Linked DNA regions of Schizosaccharomyces pombe. The protein of the gene in region 3 interacts with the protein of the main gene of each other region in a biochemical or structural test. Each region holds a gene or a part of one and is shown on either strand. Other genes may lie near its edges.

Region 1 (5,130 bases), on a different chromosome or scaffold from region 3:
GGCTCGTGCATTATTTGAAGAGGCTGGTGATGAACCGTCTATTAAGTATAATGAATATTCGGTAGAATTACTTATCTCAGAAGCTGAGAAACAAGAAGATACTTCAACTGATGAATCAGATATAAAAAGCAATAAGTTTGGCTTTTTTCGTGTTTGGGATAACAAACATATATCTTCCAATCATTATGAAGTCAAAGAAAATGTTCTTGTTGATGAAGAAGATGTCTGGTCAGTAATACTTAAGCAACGAGAGAAGGATGCAATGCTAGAAAAAACAGACGAAACAACTTCCAACAGGAGACTTCGTGCACACCACAAAATCCATTATGGCGAAGATTTAAATATTTATGATAATAGCGACGATACTGATTATACCGTTAATGATCGATCATCACCAGGCTCCCCATTTCCCATAGAAACTGAGACAATCAGTTCGATAACAGATACTTTATCTGATAAGCAAAAACTCAAATATGATTCGAGCGTAAATATCGAAAACTTAAATGATGAATCTGATTCTCAAAAGTCTGCAGATGTTCATTTTGACTCTATCTTAGCTAAATCTCTATTAGCAACAACTCCCAAAGAAGATGAATTTAACAAAACTCTATCCACCATCAATTTAGAGGTGGCTAACAAATTAACTTCTTCAGAGTATATTAATGATTCGGAAATGCAACTGATAGACGATCCAGTTTTTTACCCACCTTACGAAATAATTGAAAAAAATCATCAACTGGTTGGAAGATCTTTGTCTAAAGCAGTTCTTGACAACTTTTTTCTACTGTCTTCTTTGTCTGATAATGTACGTTGTCGATGTTGTGGTATTAAACATTTACCAGCACATTGTCCATTAAGCATTGTGCCATTAGAAATATGCTTTTTATGTGGAACACCTCACTTTAGTGGAAGGGACACGTGCCCTATGTTACGAAATAAGGAAGCGATTTATAGACTAAAAGATTCGCTTAGCAAATCACGAGAACCATTTCACATCAAAAAACAAGCTATGGCTAGATTAAACTCGTTTCTACAAAAAAAGGAGGAACCTACTGTATCAAGCAGTGCCAAAACTAATGAACTTTCATCGAAAGTAATCATAAAGGAATCCATAATTAATGAAGCAAAAACTCTTTAGAGTTTTATCATCAATGTATACTATTATTTAATCTGGCATATTCATATGTATCCTGCATTTTATTCGTTAATATATAATTTTTAATATAAATTTTAAACATATATAGCATTTCCATCAAGATCATTATAACAAGGTAGGATCAAATATGGTAACAAGTGATTCAACTCTGAAGCAAATCATGAACTTAAAACCGGCGGTTATATACGAACAACCGCCAGACAAGTGGACAAAAGAAAGAAATATAAAACTGAAATCAGTTTCGTTATCGTTGTCTTCCACACTAAACTTCTACAGGACATAAAAAGCGTTACGAATGGTTTCAAAAAGACGACTTACTAATTCTGCTAAAAGACTTCGGTACACGAAGGAAGGCGCAAAGACTTTTGTGAAAAACGCTACCATCATCGGAGCAGATATTAAAAAATGCGGTAAAAATCTCTTTGTTACTTTTTTCAGGAACCTTCAAAGCAACTGTAAAATTAACATCCTCACCAGGATGAACGGAAGAAGTGATAGGAAACGAATATGGATTGTCTCCTGGAAAAAGTTTGTCTCCACCATTAAACTTGACATACAACGGAGAAGGCCACGATTGACAAGAAGTATTCCTTATATGCCATATTTTATAAAACGGGCAGCCAGGGCTTAATTCTAAGGGGAGAATGGAGTCCTCAACTAACTTGAAGTCGAAATTAAGAACCTTAGGTTTTTCAGGTTTAGATAAATGTAAAGGTGAAGCAGATATTTCGCGAGTTAAACGGAGCATTGAATGATGATCATGATGCACATGAGATACACATGAGGAGCAAAGATCATAGTCTTCACAAACCAGACAATGAAATCTTGGTCCAACTATTGGATGAGCAAGACAGTTGTCACATTGAACCGATCGATGTACTGTTGAGGCAGACTCAAACAATTCGGCTGATAGGAACTGAGGGAACAAATGAAATGAAGGAAGACCATGAGGATAAGCTTTAGTAATTCGAACGAAAGCATGCGTGTTTGAATGACTATTGTCGGTAAGGCAAGACTCACAAATGTCGTAGTCATCACAAACACTACACTTGTAACGCACATTATGTATAGGTTGCTCACAATGGTCACAAATGGCGTACATAAAATTAGATTGGGGAGAAACTGACATAGAATTTACGCTGCAGGTTAAGGAAGCAACTGAAGGGATTGAAGAGCGAACAAGTACGAAATGGGGTTTTGGGCAAGGATGGAGGAATGCCTGTTTCGCATAGCAGTCTCTACAAACATCGAAATCGAAACACTTTGTGCAATGAAATGAGTCATTCCGAATTATCTTGAGGCAAGTGTTACAAGCAACAGAAGAAGACCTTAAAGTAGGCGAATTATTATTGTGCTCAAAAATGTTTGACTTTAAATTATTCTCCTTAGTGAAGTGGATATTAGCGACTGAGGAATGAAAAGGAGGGAAGGAAGGAACACTATGGTTGCAAAGAATCCCACAATCAGAAGAGGGACATGTACGATTGCAAAGCATTTCGGGATCAAAAACGTGAATAAAATAAAATAAAATTTAATGATAAAAGAGAGCGTTAAAGAAAGCAAAAAAAAGAAAAAAATCGCGTAAGCAGTCAAGAAGTAACTCGAGTTCTTAGGTAAGAGAAGGTCTTAATTGTAGGTAAAAAGCTCTTTCGAAATAAGCTAAAGCAAAATTAGTAACGATATTAACTAATGAAATTAGTTGCAAAGTAAAATTTAATAGTTCATATGAATTTTGAAATTGAGGAAATATGTGACGCCGAAGTGAGCAACAGTGCTAGCAATTTCAGAGTAAAGGCAATAGAAAAAACAATCTTTATCAAGACAAGGATTTTTACGTTCTCGTAAATATTTATCGAAGATGTTATTATTAAAGTTCCATCAACCACTTTAGTCCTTCAATCCTTTTTGTAATTTGTTGTACAAACATTGAACTTAAGACTTTGTGCAAGTAAATTATCTTACCTATAGACGGAACAGGAAATAAAGACAAAACAAATAATTGAAGCGGATGTGTAGAGATACAGTGCAAACGAAATGTAAGGAGCGTTGGAATTGCAACTATAATGACGGGTTCCTAATTGGTTATGAAATCAAGCTATTAATTCTAAATGGGATGTATTCAACGGGTGAAGTGAGCAGGACAAATTCGCTAGTAGAAGTTGATGGTAATGTAAATGAACGAGGTCGAGGTGTAAGCTTATCACACGTATATGGGGGATGAGCATATCGTACTGATAATAGATAAGTTAAGCGTCGCTAAAAAGTGGTAGCGTTTAGAAGCGTGCACAGCATAAACAGTAACTTAGCGAATTTATCTACAAGAGGTTGGTACTTCAACGCATGGCCCTAAAAATGAATATATGAAAAATTTTGTTGATGTAGCAAACTTGAAAAAGAAATTGATTTAGTTAAATTGGAAACTACTTAACTTAAGCCCTAAAATGTACTTAGAAATCGGCTTAGACATTAAACTAGATATGGGTTATGGCATAAATGTAATTTAAATGAGATGTGAGTCGATAAAGTATTAATATTATATATTCTTAAATCATAAGTTGACGCTATTCTAATATCAATAAGCGATTATGAACTGAAAACGTAAATAAATGCAATTTCTCTTACAGCGTAAAATCTTTTACTACAATAATAGAAAAGGGTAGGAAAAACTCCATTATATTGGCTAAAACCGGTCACGGTATCTTTTGATGATCCGTTTGTAAAATCAATTGCAAATGAAAAGACACTAGAGAAGGTGATAAACGACCAGTTTATAGCTAAGTTAATAATTAATGGTATACTCCGCGTTATGATTTTGCTCAAATAATAATTTTGGTTTTTTGCTGATTGTTAATATTTACATTAATGAAATTTGTAAATATACGTCAAAACAAATTAACATCATACTTACATTGTCATACTAATCGCACGTTTACGCATTAACGGGAAAAAAGTAAGCAATATTTCAGTTGGATTTTAAGTCACTCATGCACCGAAATTTTTTCCAGCATATTATTAAAAGTACAAGAACATTAGGTATAAATGCAACTTCATTTCTAACCCGATATTTACTTAACGTTGGTAGACACCAGCATCCTCCGAAATTGATTAGCTCATATTCTCACATCGCTATTTCCACCTTCTCTTTTCAAATATCAGCAACTTCATTCCAACACCCTTCATACACTGTCAAAGGTTTGAGCACCTGTATTGATAAAATGAGCCAAGATCAAAAACCTAAAGTTTTGGAAGTGTCCAACCTTGAGAATCAGGATGCCAAGTGGACATCCTTAAAGAAAATCCGTTGGCAAGACGAAAAAGGAAAAATCAGGTTTTGGGAAATGGCTGAACGTACGACACGTTCAGAAGCCAATGTGGATGCCGTAGCCATCTTAGCCATTGTTCCTATCGACGGAAGTCCTCATGTGTTGTGCCAAAAGCAATTTCGTCCTCCTATTGGCAAGTTTTGTATTGAAATTCCAGCAGGTTTAGTTGATTCTAAGGAGTCTTGTGAAGATGCTGCGATTCGAGAGCTTCGTGAAGAGACTGGCTACGTTGGTACTGTTATGGACTCCACCACTGTCATGTACAATGATCCGGGTCTTACGAATGCTAATCTTAAGATTATACTGGCTGACATTGACATGTCGAAGCCTGAAAACCAAAATCCTCAACAACAACTTGACGATGGCGAATACATTGAGAACTTTCCAATCAAGCTTTCTTCTTTACAAGAGGAATTATTTTCTTTAGAGAAGAAGGGATTTGCCATTGATGTTCGTCTCTCCACATTTGCACTAGGATTACATGCTGGTCTTAAATACTTGTCGTCTTAGCTATGCACCTTTTGCTATTCACTGAATTACGACCGTTTACTATTAAATGTTGCTAATGGACTTTTTATGCTATAACTTTCCTTTGTTTTAGTCAAACTTTATTAAAAATAATATATATGTCTATCCAATAATTCCCGTTAC
Region 2 (5,663 bases), 2.5 Mb from region 3:
ATTTAATTGAAGGACATTGATTTTTTGAAAATTTTTAAGGGTCGAATGGATAGTTGATTGAAGAGACTGTATGTCAGCTATGTTTACATTATCGACAGTCCATTCGTGGGCTGCCATGGCTTCAGTCAAGATGCGAATCATGTTATTTAATTCCATTCTCGTGTCTTTTAAATCTTGAACGGTAAGTTTTCTTTTTTCCAACGAATATTGTAAGACAGAATTACATCGCATGTTTAACAATGGCCTTCTAAAAGAGTTACGCTTCATCAGCAGACGTTTCAGATCAGCAGGTTGTCCTTTGGTATAGATGTCACGTGTAATGTTATTCATTTTTTCTTTTACGATGGTAATACAAACGCCGTGTGATGGTTATATGTTGCTTCAATGTTTGTATTGATGTATAGAGGAGTCGCGTTAATTGTAAAAGATTGGCAGGTGTTTGGCGGTACGCCAAACAGTAGCAACATCTCAAAGCTACTCCCCACCAATAAACATTCAACTAGTTAGCAGTTATAAGTTAGATCAAAGAAATGGCCTGAAATTACAGATTTTAAGATCCAATCTCCGTCTTTTTTTATGAAGCAGCTACACCAAATCTATCAATGAATTTCAAGACGATATCTTATGGTAGCTAATAAGTCTTAATACAAATTACTCCAAATCATATTTTTTACTAATTATATTCTGCTTAATACAGCAATTCGTAAAATTGAAACAAATTGCGAAGCAATTAGAAAACTATCTTAAACCAGCCTAATGAAAACTAGTGAAATACGGTAGTTCAGGAATTTTTATTCATATATATATCTCTTCCATTTAGAAATTTTATCTTTTTCTATGCCACATACATAGCACGATTGGAGGCTTTGGAATTTGAGTCTCGGTGAATCAAAGTTCTTTGGTCTTGTGAATCCACGTGCAACTAAAAGGAGTGCTAACAGTGACTTTTGGTACGCTGTGTATATGCAGAAAAAGATATTAGACACCAATTAAGCCGGGACGAAAGCCTAATTGGATTGCTTTCGTCTGACTATGCGTGTTTTACATTCATACCAAATTAAATAATTTAGCTAAAATATATAGAAAGTTACCAGATGATGAGAAGGCCTTTTGAAATAACAATTTGCTTACTGAAAACTTATACGTTAGACTTTTTAAAGCCATGAATACAACAGAGTTAAGTAAATTCATTGTTTGCTATACCAATTTTGAAATTTATTATTAATATTATTGTGTTTGCTGATATATTTGCGGATATTCAATTTTTAAATGCAACGGGAATTGACAACACCAACACAGTAAAAACTAAGTAGGAAATAAAACATTTATACAAATAATGAATGAAAAAAAAAGCGCCGACATAATTTTCATTGTAAGAAATAAGATAATCATTTCGTTTCAACCATCTTCTTTAATGCTTCAGTAGAGAAAGACTTAGGACGCTCAATAGGTAGTCCCAAAGCTCGATCCCAGATGAGTTGAGAGGCAACACCGAGTGTTCGAGAAACACCGAACAAAACGGTGTAGAAGCTTTGTTCTTTCAAGCCATAATATTGCAAAAGAACACCAGAATGTGAGTCAACGTTGGGATATGGATTTTTGGTTTTTCCATGCTCTGTAAGAACACCTGGAACTATTTCATACAGACGGCTTACAAGTTGAAACATGGGATCTTTAGGAAGATGCTCAAGTGCAAATTCACGCTGAGCCGTATAGCGAGGATCTGTCTTACGAAGTACGGCATGACCATAACCAGGAACAACACGACCAGAATTCAAAAGCTTCCAGAGATAAGACTTGATTGTTTCTTCAGATAAATCATCACCGATTTCTTTCTTCATTGTAATCAAAAAGTTCAAAACTTCTTGGTTGGCAAGACCATGAAGGGGACCAGCAAGTCCATTTAAGGAGGCAGCCATCGACAAAAAGGGTGAAGAAAGAGCAGAACCTACCAAATGACCGGTGTGAGCAGATACATTACCACCTTCGTGGTCAGCATGGATGGTCAAATAAAGACGCATAAGCTCCACAAATTCCTCATTGTTAGCAAAGCCCAGAACATTAGCAAAATTGTACGAATGGTCCTTATCCATTTGAATAGGAGCAACAACACCATCACGGTACAAATTGCGGTAGATACGACCGGCAATTGGAACGGTCTTGGCAATCAAATCCATGCAGTCTTCATATTCATACTTCCAATAATCATGCTTGTTCATTCCACGCTCATATGCTTTAGCAAATGCAGAATCGTGCTCAAGTGCAGTAACAGCGAGAGAGAATTGGGCCATTGGATGAAGGGTAGGAGGGCAACGGTCAATGAGTTCTTCAACAAATTTGGGTAACTGAGAACGGGCGGCCCAGTCAGCGGAAAGCGCCTGCACTTGACTCAGAGTAGGAATTTCCCCGGTAACTAAAAGCCAGAACAAAGATTCAGGAAGAGGCTGTTTTCCGTTGGGAGAAGAAGGAAGTAATTTTTGGCATTCCGGGATAGTATAACCACGGAATCGGATACCCTCGTTAGGGTCTAAAACAGAGCCTTCCCATATTAAAGAACGAACCCCACGAGCACCACCATACATTTGATTGATAGTTACCTCACCAATGACATCTTGGCCATGTTCTGCGCGAAATTTTTTGATTTCTGCTTGTTTTTCAGGAATAAGCTCAGCTAACCGATCCTTTAAGGAAGAGGAACGAGTTGAGTAAGAAGATGTGAAAAGGGGGTTTAATTGACGGGAACGAAGCGACGCTTGAGAAAGTAACGACGAAGCAAGTCGTCGAGTACTAGCTAATCTTGTGTTTGTCATAAAACGAGGTGCGTTTAATATAATCATCCTAATAATTTAAAAGTTAGTAAAAAGTAAAACTTGGGAAATAAAAGAAGGCGTGAAATGCGGGAAAAGCTCCTTTGTAATAATATGAGAGAACGAAGGATATCAGATCAAGGAGATAGTGAAGGCCGATTCGCAAATTTAACAAACAGAAAAAAAGAAATAAGCAATAAGAATAGAAAGTCGGTTAATGATAATATCTAAGAGAACTATCGTGAAAAATAGAAAAAAAATTGACTATCAATAATCGCCAATGAGAAAAGTCACTTTAATTTCAAACAAGCTAAAGACGGGGTTTGTTATCAAAAATCAATAATTAATTTTCAATTCAACTAGTGTGCTTAATCTGAGCACACTCAGATGGGTCATAGATATAGACAGGAACCACAAATTTAGTAGCGTAGTCATTATCAATAACGGCATCTAATTTTAAATAGAAAAAAAAATTGAGCTTTTGAAGACCTTTTCTATCCTCTTCAAAGTAAGAGAAATGAACCCATTTTGAGTGAAAATTTGCATACGCTATGTATAGGATTGACCCCAAGATAAGCGCAGATGAAAAAAGTCCTAGCATTGGCAGACATGAATTAGAGCATCGAGTAAACTATATTTCCAACCAAAAATATAAGACTTTCTTTCAAGAAAACCGACATTTCGTAAGACCAAAAGGCCAACGAAACGCAAAATCAAAATTATCACAAAGGAGGATTTTCTAAACTATGCACTAGAGAATATCCTACTGCCTCTCGACAAGATCAAATCTCAAACACCTTTAGGCTTGCACTTACATGAAAAAGGGTATTACAATGCACCGATATTGGCTAAGGAAAGAATAATTGCTGGGATGGGGGACTATTTATTCGGTAAACCTGAGTACCATTAGCATGAACGGAGGGGAGGGTGCGACGTCAGTGCCCCATGATTCTGTCCATTCAACAACTAGCCAAAACCGAGGAGAGGAACAACCTTAGCATATAGACTCGCTTCTGATGTCGGTGAATACGAAATACAAAACCACTTAAAATTCAGTAAAGTGAAGAAGGTTTGTGGAGAATGACTTGGGCAACAAAGCCGAAATCCACCAAACAGTAAGAAAAAATTGTAATGAAGAAAGAAAGCCTTATTTATCACATATTTACTAATGAACTTTAGCCTACAACTTACAAACCCGTTGAAAAGTCAAATCTCACTTTTATGATTGGGACAGGCAACCTTGCATGGAAACCCGGTTCATCGTCGCAGGAAAAAATAATATTTTATTATTTAGATGTACTTTGATCAAAAATAAATTAAGGAGTAAGAAAATTTGAAAAGAGGCGTATCCGATGTTTCCATAATTGTTGAATGATACAAATTAGACTACATAGATTGATATTATATCCTTTCAACAATGAGAGAAACGAGATGGGTATGAATAAGTATTGATTTCCTACCAACAAACAATTTGTACATTTTATGCTTTGAAAACGTACTGATCTACATTACCATAGTGTCTTGTATTGTTGGCCTTGCAAGTGAAGTGCTATTTACTGTTACTATCAATAAACGCATCTTTGGTTCTTGGTTACCATACTTTGTGCTACAAATTTTATCTCTCATAAGTTTTTTTTCTTTTTTTTTTTTTTTTTTGAAATTTTAAATAGATAACAAGCCGAATTTCGAGAATTTGCTTGTCTTGATCAGGTAAAAAAGGGTAGTTGCTCCGATCGATCGAGCTAATGATATCAGTAAAGATCAAAATTTAGGAGAACTTCCGCGGTAGCGGATTTCTCAGTCAAACATAGTACTACAATAGATACAGAAAAGAATTGCTTAGCTATGCAAATATTTACTCAATGAACGTTGACTGAAGTAGCTTCATCTCTTGCATGTGCGTTACGGCAATGCATATGCATGTATCGGGAGTGAATAAATGAATAGAGATGTTGACAAGCGACAAGAAAATAATTTTTATAGGTAAGAAAGTTTTTGATAACTTTTTCTAACTGCTCAACCATTGCTATTGACGAAGTTTAGATGGATGTTTTTTTCTTAGGATTGCTAGTGGTAATCGCTATTTTCACTAACGCTAAGCGTTACAGCTCGTTTCGCTTTTTATTCCCATCCAAAAACTTGGACCCCAATGAGACAAAGTGGGGGTGGAATATTAGAATTGCGACTTTTAGATCGTTACTGAATACCATTCCAAGTATCCCACATTGGAGAACCATGTGGGGAACCGTTCGAGTTGGTATTGTACATACCCCGTCGGCCAAGGTAAGAGAGCGTGTAGACTGTAGTTACTACTTTTTGGCTAGAGGATTCAAAACTCAAAAATAGCTCTTAAAAATAAATATAGAAATGAATTAATTCAAAAACATATAATTTTTCTTCGGGATTCCTTTTTTTTACAACAACAGTCATTTCAAGTGCTTTGACTTGACAGACGCAACATAAATAAATAAATAGAACACTTTGATGCAAAGTATCGAATTCCAACATATCTCTCTAGACTGCTTTTCTATTAAAACCATGACTACTAGTGTTTCCATATAAAAATATAAAGAGATCCATCAACAACTAATACGTACATATTAGATTTTGCATTCCCAAATTGCTTCGTTATTTCACATACACCCATTTATTTAAAACGAGTTAAGAGTAACATCATTTGAAATCAACTGAAACATTTATATAAGCTGATTTTTCACAATCTTGCTATTTCACTAGTGTGGAACCTGGAGCTGCTTCATAGTTTTATACAATAGCATAACAAAACTCCAATAATCTCATTTATACTCTGACTCACCAAGTCGATGATGTGTATCTATTTAGGTTAAATTGATCAAT
Region 3 (4,744 bases):
AAAATTGTAAGTTTTTTTTAAGTTAACTTCACTAATTTTTTAAACAGATGAAAGCCTAAGATCTCAACTTTTGGAATATAAGGCTGCAAACGAAAAACATACGGAAGCTATTTTATCAGTCGTCTCCTCAACCTTAACTGAAAACACTGGTAAAATTCTAGAGTCGGTGGTTGAAAAATCGATGCAAGTGGCATTAAAGGAAGAAATTGCGAATTCCGTTAGAAATGCTCTCAAAAATAACTTGGAAAAAATTGAATCTTTTCTTGAGAATAGCATTGCAGAGCTGCAAAATTCTGTTCGAGAGGATTTTGATAAGCAGACTTCATCTCTAGCTCAACTGAGGTATAGTATTCAGAATGTTGCACATGCCCAGAAGGAATCTGAGGTAAAGTATAACGAATTGAATGAACAAGTTAAAACGCTTGAAGGCTATGTTGAAACAGTGCTTGAAAAGTTCAATGATTTGAAGATTGAGAATAAAGTACCAGAGACAGCACCTGATGTAGTACCTTCATCATATCCACCTGCTGCGGAAAGTAACGTTTCCGTGTCTAGCGATACGTCTACAAAGGACGTGGAAAAGCAGGAGCCTTCATCTGCTGAACAGCCTGCTCAGGGAATTGCTGAAAGTCTGAGAAGGCTAAAAGAATATGTTAAAGCTGGTTCTGTGAAAGAATGTGTTGCTGAGGTAAGTTATAAAATGTGATTTTTATTTTCTAATTTATTCTAGTGGTGTAACATGCCCTCTGTTGCGGGCTTTGACGTTTTGTCTGAAATTTCTTACGATAGAATGTTAGAAAATTGTAGCAATTTATTGCTTCTTACTTTTATTTATCATATTTCTCTCCTTGATTCTGTTGATGACGATCGCTTATCGAAGCGTATGGAATACATTTCTAGAATTTGTTTGAACATTGATGTTAATGACCCAAAGGTGGAAACGGTAGTTCACCCTGTTCTTACTTTAACTCGCGAAGCTTTGTTAAGGCAGTCTGAATTTTTCTCGCCTATTTTTAAACGCCGTTTAGTTGTTCTTTTGCGTGCTCTTGATGGCAAAATATCTGAAATATCCGTTGCATCCAGTAATTAGAATTATACTTTCTTATTTGGGATTTCTTAACAATTATCGTTGAATGTTTTTAGGATACTTCATCAATATGAGCCGAAATATAAATCTAATTTATTACTGCTGTAAATATTTTTATTTTAAAGAAAAATCATTGATGTCATGATTTGTTATGCCTTGTTGTTTATGTTAGGTTGCCCTCTTTTTCTTCGTTTTTTATTTTCGAGCATCTTTTTTAAGTGGTTTTGATGTCGCTCATTTCTTTTTACGATTTACTTTTCTTTTAGGGTTATTTATTTGCTAGATTAGTTAAGTTCATGGAATAGCAGGTTGTTAATTTTTGTATAACTTTCAGTTTTCATATCGTTCAAAAACCTACATACAAGCAGATCTCCCAGTCATTTTATAAACCATTTAGAAATCGTACTCGCTTTTAATAACCCAAGTGAACTCCTTATTGGGTTTATCGTTCCGGTTTCGACATGTAGTACCTACGGTATTGTCACTTGATTTGTACTCACCACTATGGTGTATTATTCCAATAACAACCGAAAGAATTCACAAATGCAATTACATGGAAAAATGACTGCCACTGCAAAAAGTTGTGCTTTAGATTTTTTGGATTTTGTTAATGCAAGCCCTACTCCGTACCATGCTGTACAAAATTTGGCAGAACATTACATGTCTCACGGATTTCAATACCTCAGTGAAAAGAGTGATTGGCAATCTAAAATTGAACCTGGAAATTCATACTTCGTTACTCGCAATAAATCTAGTATAATTGCTTTCAGTATTGGTAAAAAATGGAAACCAGGTAAGTCAAGTTCTCAATGAGTTGCCTCTATATGCTTCGCCTTAAACTTCAGTAGAGTTTGATTGTATTATTATTATTGTTTAACATTTATGATAGGAAATGGTTTCTCTATTATTGCAACGCACACTGATTCTCCTACACTTCGGTTAAAACCAAAATCTCAGAAGTCCGCTTACGGCTATCTACAAGTAGGAGTTGAAAAATACGGCGGTGGTATATGGCACACTTGGTTTGATAGAGATCTTTCTTTAGCTGGGAGAGTGATGGTTGAAGAGGAGGATGGACGAGTTATACAGTATAATGTGCATATCGATCGGCCACTATTACGCATTCCTACTCTCGCAATTCACTTAGATCCGTCTGCCAATTCTTCTTTTTCATTCAATATGGAAACAGAATTTGTTCCGCTTATTGGATTGGAAAATGAACTTGCGAAGGAAGAAACCTCTGATAATGGTGACAAATATCACCATCCTGTTTTGCTTTCTTTACTTGCGAATGAAATATCTAAATCATTAGAGACAACTATAGATCCTTCCAAAATTGTGGATTTTGAGTTGATTCTAGGTGATGCTGAAAAGGCTCGCCTTGGCGGAATTCACGAAGAGTTTGTATTCTCACCTCGTCTCGATAACCTTGGAATGACATTTTGCGCATCTCAAGCTTTAACTAAATCATTGGAAAATAACTCCCTTGATAATGAAAGTTGCGTTAGAGTTGTTCCCTCCTTTGACCACGAGGAAATCGGTTCCGTGTCAGCTCAAGGTGCTGAAAGCACGTTTTTACCAGCTGTTCTCCAAAGAATATGCGAGCTGGGGAAAGAAAGTTCTTTGTTTTCAATTTCCATGGTAAAAAGTTTTCTAGTTTCTGCTGACATGGCTCATGCCATGCATCCCAATTACTCATCTCGCTATGAAAATTCGAATACCCCATTTTTGAACAAAGGAACTGTAATTAAAGTTAATGCGAATCAGCGTTATACGACTAATTCCGCAGGCATAGTCCTTTTAAAGAAAGTAGCTCAACTCGCCGATGTGCCAATTCAGTCATTCGTGGTGCGAAATGATTCTCCTTGTGGAAGCACTATTGGTCCCAAACTTGCTGCCATGACAGGAATGCGTACACTCGATTTAGGAAATCCTATGCTTTCTATGCACTCTTGCCGTGAAATGTGTGGCTCCAAGGACTTTGAGTATGCAGTCGTCTTATTCTCTTCATTTTTTCAAAACTTTGCAAATTTGGAAGAAAAAATCATTATTGATGAATAGTTTACCAAGTTTGTTTATGTCTTACACCTCATGATACTATGGGTTCATAAGAACGCCATGAAATTTACCGAACTCGTATCTGTTGGCCGTGCTATGAGTAGTACTAGTTGCCTCTCTTATAGTTATGAAAATGATATCCACATGACAATTATAATCATAACCCCATGATTTGCTATAGCAAGGTATAAAGTTAAACATGACTAGCAAGTCTTTCAACGAAAGCATGTGTGTATCAAAAGTAATTGATTTAGATAAAAATTCATAAGAGGAAATTCTGATTATAAGTATACCGAACACATCCTGCTTTCTTTAATTTTTTTATGAAAAAAGAATGATAGGTTCAAAAATAGATTATACCTATATAATATACAATAGTAAAACCCACTGCTAAATTAAACGAAAGAAAAGATTAAATAAAAAAGAGACAATTGGAATAATAGGTTACGACATCATCTTGCTATGCTTCAATTCGATAGCTCGTTTATAAGGAGGAGCGGTTGGAGGTTGTATAACGTCTAAGGTAGCCTTTTTCATATTTATTTCAACGGGATAAGTAGCGTCCGCATCATAACCATCAAGGTCACCACATGCAATAAATGGTGCAATCTCATGAGCATTGGTTGGATCGATTACACATAAAGGTTTTGTTAAATCGGGTTGAAAATTAGAAGGGGGGTTAAAATCTTCACAAACGACAAAGGACTCGATAGAGCTAGCACGAGAGCTTCTTGGTTTAGCACAAGAAACTTTTCGAAACATCAAACGAAGCTGAGAGTATAACAGTGAAACATCTCGTCCACGAAAAATTTTTGCAACAAATTTCCCACCAGGCTTTAAAACACAAACCGCTAAATTAAATGCAGCTAACAATATCTGTGCTTGAATATATTCATCTAGGTCGTGCAAACCAGTAACATCTGGGGCACCATCACTAACTACGAGATCAGCCGGTTCATTACCAAAGTGAGACAAAATAATTGAAAGGGTGTTGGGATGAGTAATGTCTAATTGCAGGGTGCATACCCCATCGATTGGTGCCATGGGTTGAAGATCAACAGCAACAATCATAGGTTTCTCATCTGCGGCAATGGAAGTATCAATGTTTTTGAGTAACTCACGAGACAAAACTTGAGACCAAGACCCCGGTGCAGCACATAAGTCTACAACTCTTTTTGCTCCTTCAAATAAATTGAACTGTTCGTTTAATTGGAGCAATTTGAAAGCTGAGCGGGCTCTCCACCCTTGTTCCTTCGCCAGACGATAATAGGCATCTCTCTAAAAAAGTGTAAAGTTAGTATTTTAACAAAATAAATAGTTAAATAATTATTTAGCAATAAAAAAAAAATGAAATAATAAACTAAAATGTTTCTATATGCGACTGAGAAACATTAAAGTTTACACATTAATATACGATATAACTTCGATAAAATTAACGTAAACTTTTCGCTACAAAGTTAAGTATTTACAAGGTTTCAGTAACGCACGAGACATACCTTATCTTTGCTGCTTCTCCCCATTTGTTTTTCAGTTTGGTAAAAACTGGTTGAAATTATTATATTCGTTTCTTGCATCGATTGTATTGAATAAACATATCGT

Evidence for each region.
Region 1: the proteins of ape4 (region 3) and nbr1 are reported together in a solved structure, tested with the Schizosaccharomyces pombe proteins (one study listed by BioGRID).
Region 2: of the proteins of ape4 (region 3) and cit1, one has a biochemical effect on the other in vitro, tested with the Schizosaccharomyces pombe proteins (one study listed by BioGRID).

What each region holds. Positions count from the first base shown.
Region 1 is NC_003423.3:985,187-990,316, forward strand, and holds nbr1 (protein Nbr1), read right to left. Parts: upstream 3,324-5,130; 5' UTR 3,119-3,323; intron 2,816-3,118; 5' UTR 2,652-2,815; coding exon 1,458-2,651; 3' UTR 1,197-1,457; downstream 1-1,196. Other genes in the region: SHREC complex ATP-dependent chromatin remodeller Mit1, read left to right, coding at 1-1,138; subfamily NudF ADP-ribose diphosphatase Ysa1, read left to right, coding at 4,372-4,989.
Region 2 is NC_003424.3:2,325,822-2,331,484, reverse strand, and holds cit1 (citrate synthase Cit1), read right to left. Parts: upstream 3,658-5,663; 5' UTR 3,625-3,657; coding exon 3,623-3,624; intron 2,839-3,622; coding exon 1,389-2,838; 3' UTR 1,196-1,388; downstream 1-1,195. Other genes in the region: protein meu43, read right to left, coding at 1-330; SPOM_SPAC6C3.03C (uncharacterized protein), read left to right, coding at 4,851-5,153.
Region 3 is NC_003424.3:4,831,281-4,836,024, forward strand, and holds ape4 (aspartyl metalloaminopeptidase Ape4), read left to right. Parts: upstream 1-1,609; 5' UTR 1,610-1,630; coding exon 1,631-1,880; intron 1,881-1,976; coding exon 1,977-3,148; 3' UTR 3,149-3,290; downstream 3,291-4,744. Other genes in the region: protein pdc1, read left to right, coding at 1-6, 48-688, 731-1,090; trm7 (tRNA 2'-O-ribose methyltransferase), read right to left, coding at 3,590-4,423, 4,642-4,665. UniProt on the Schizosaccharomyces pombe protein: Aspartyl aminopeptidase that is able to remove aspartyl residue at N-terminus of angiotensin I. Also acts as a chaperone and efficiently suppressed the thermal aggregation of citrate synthase.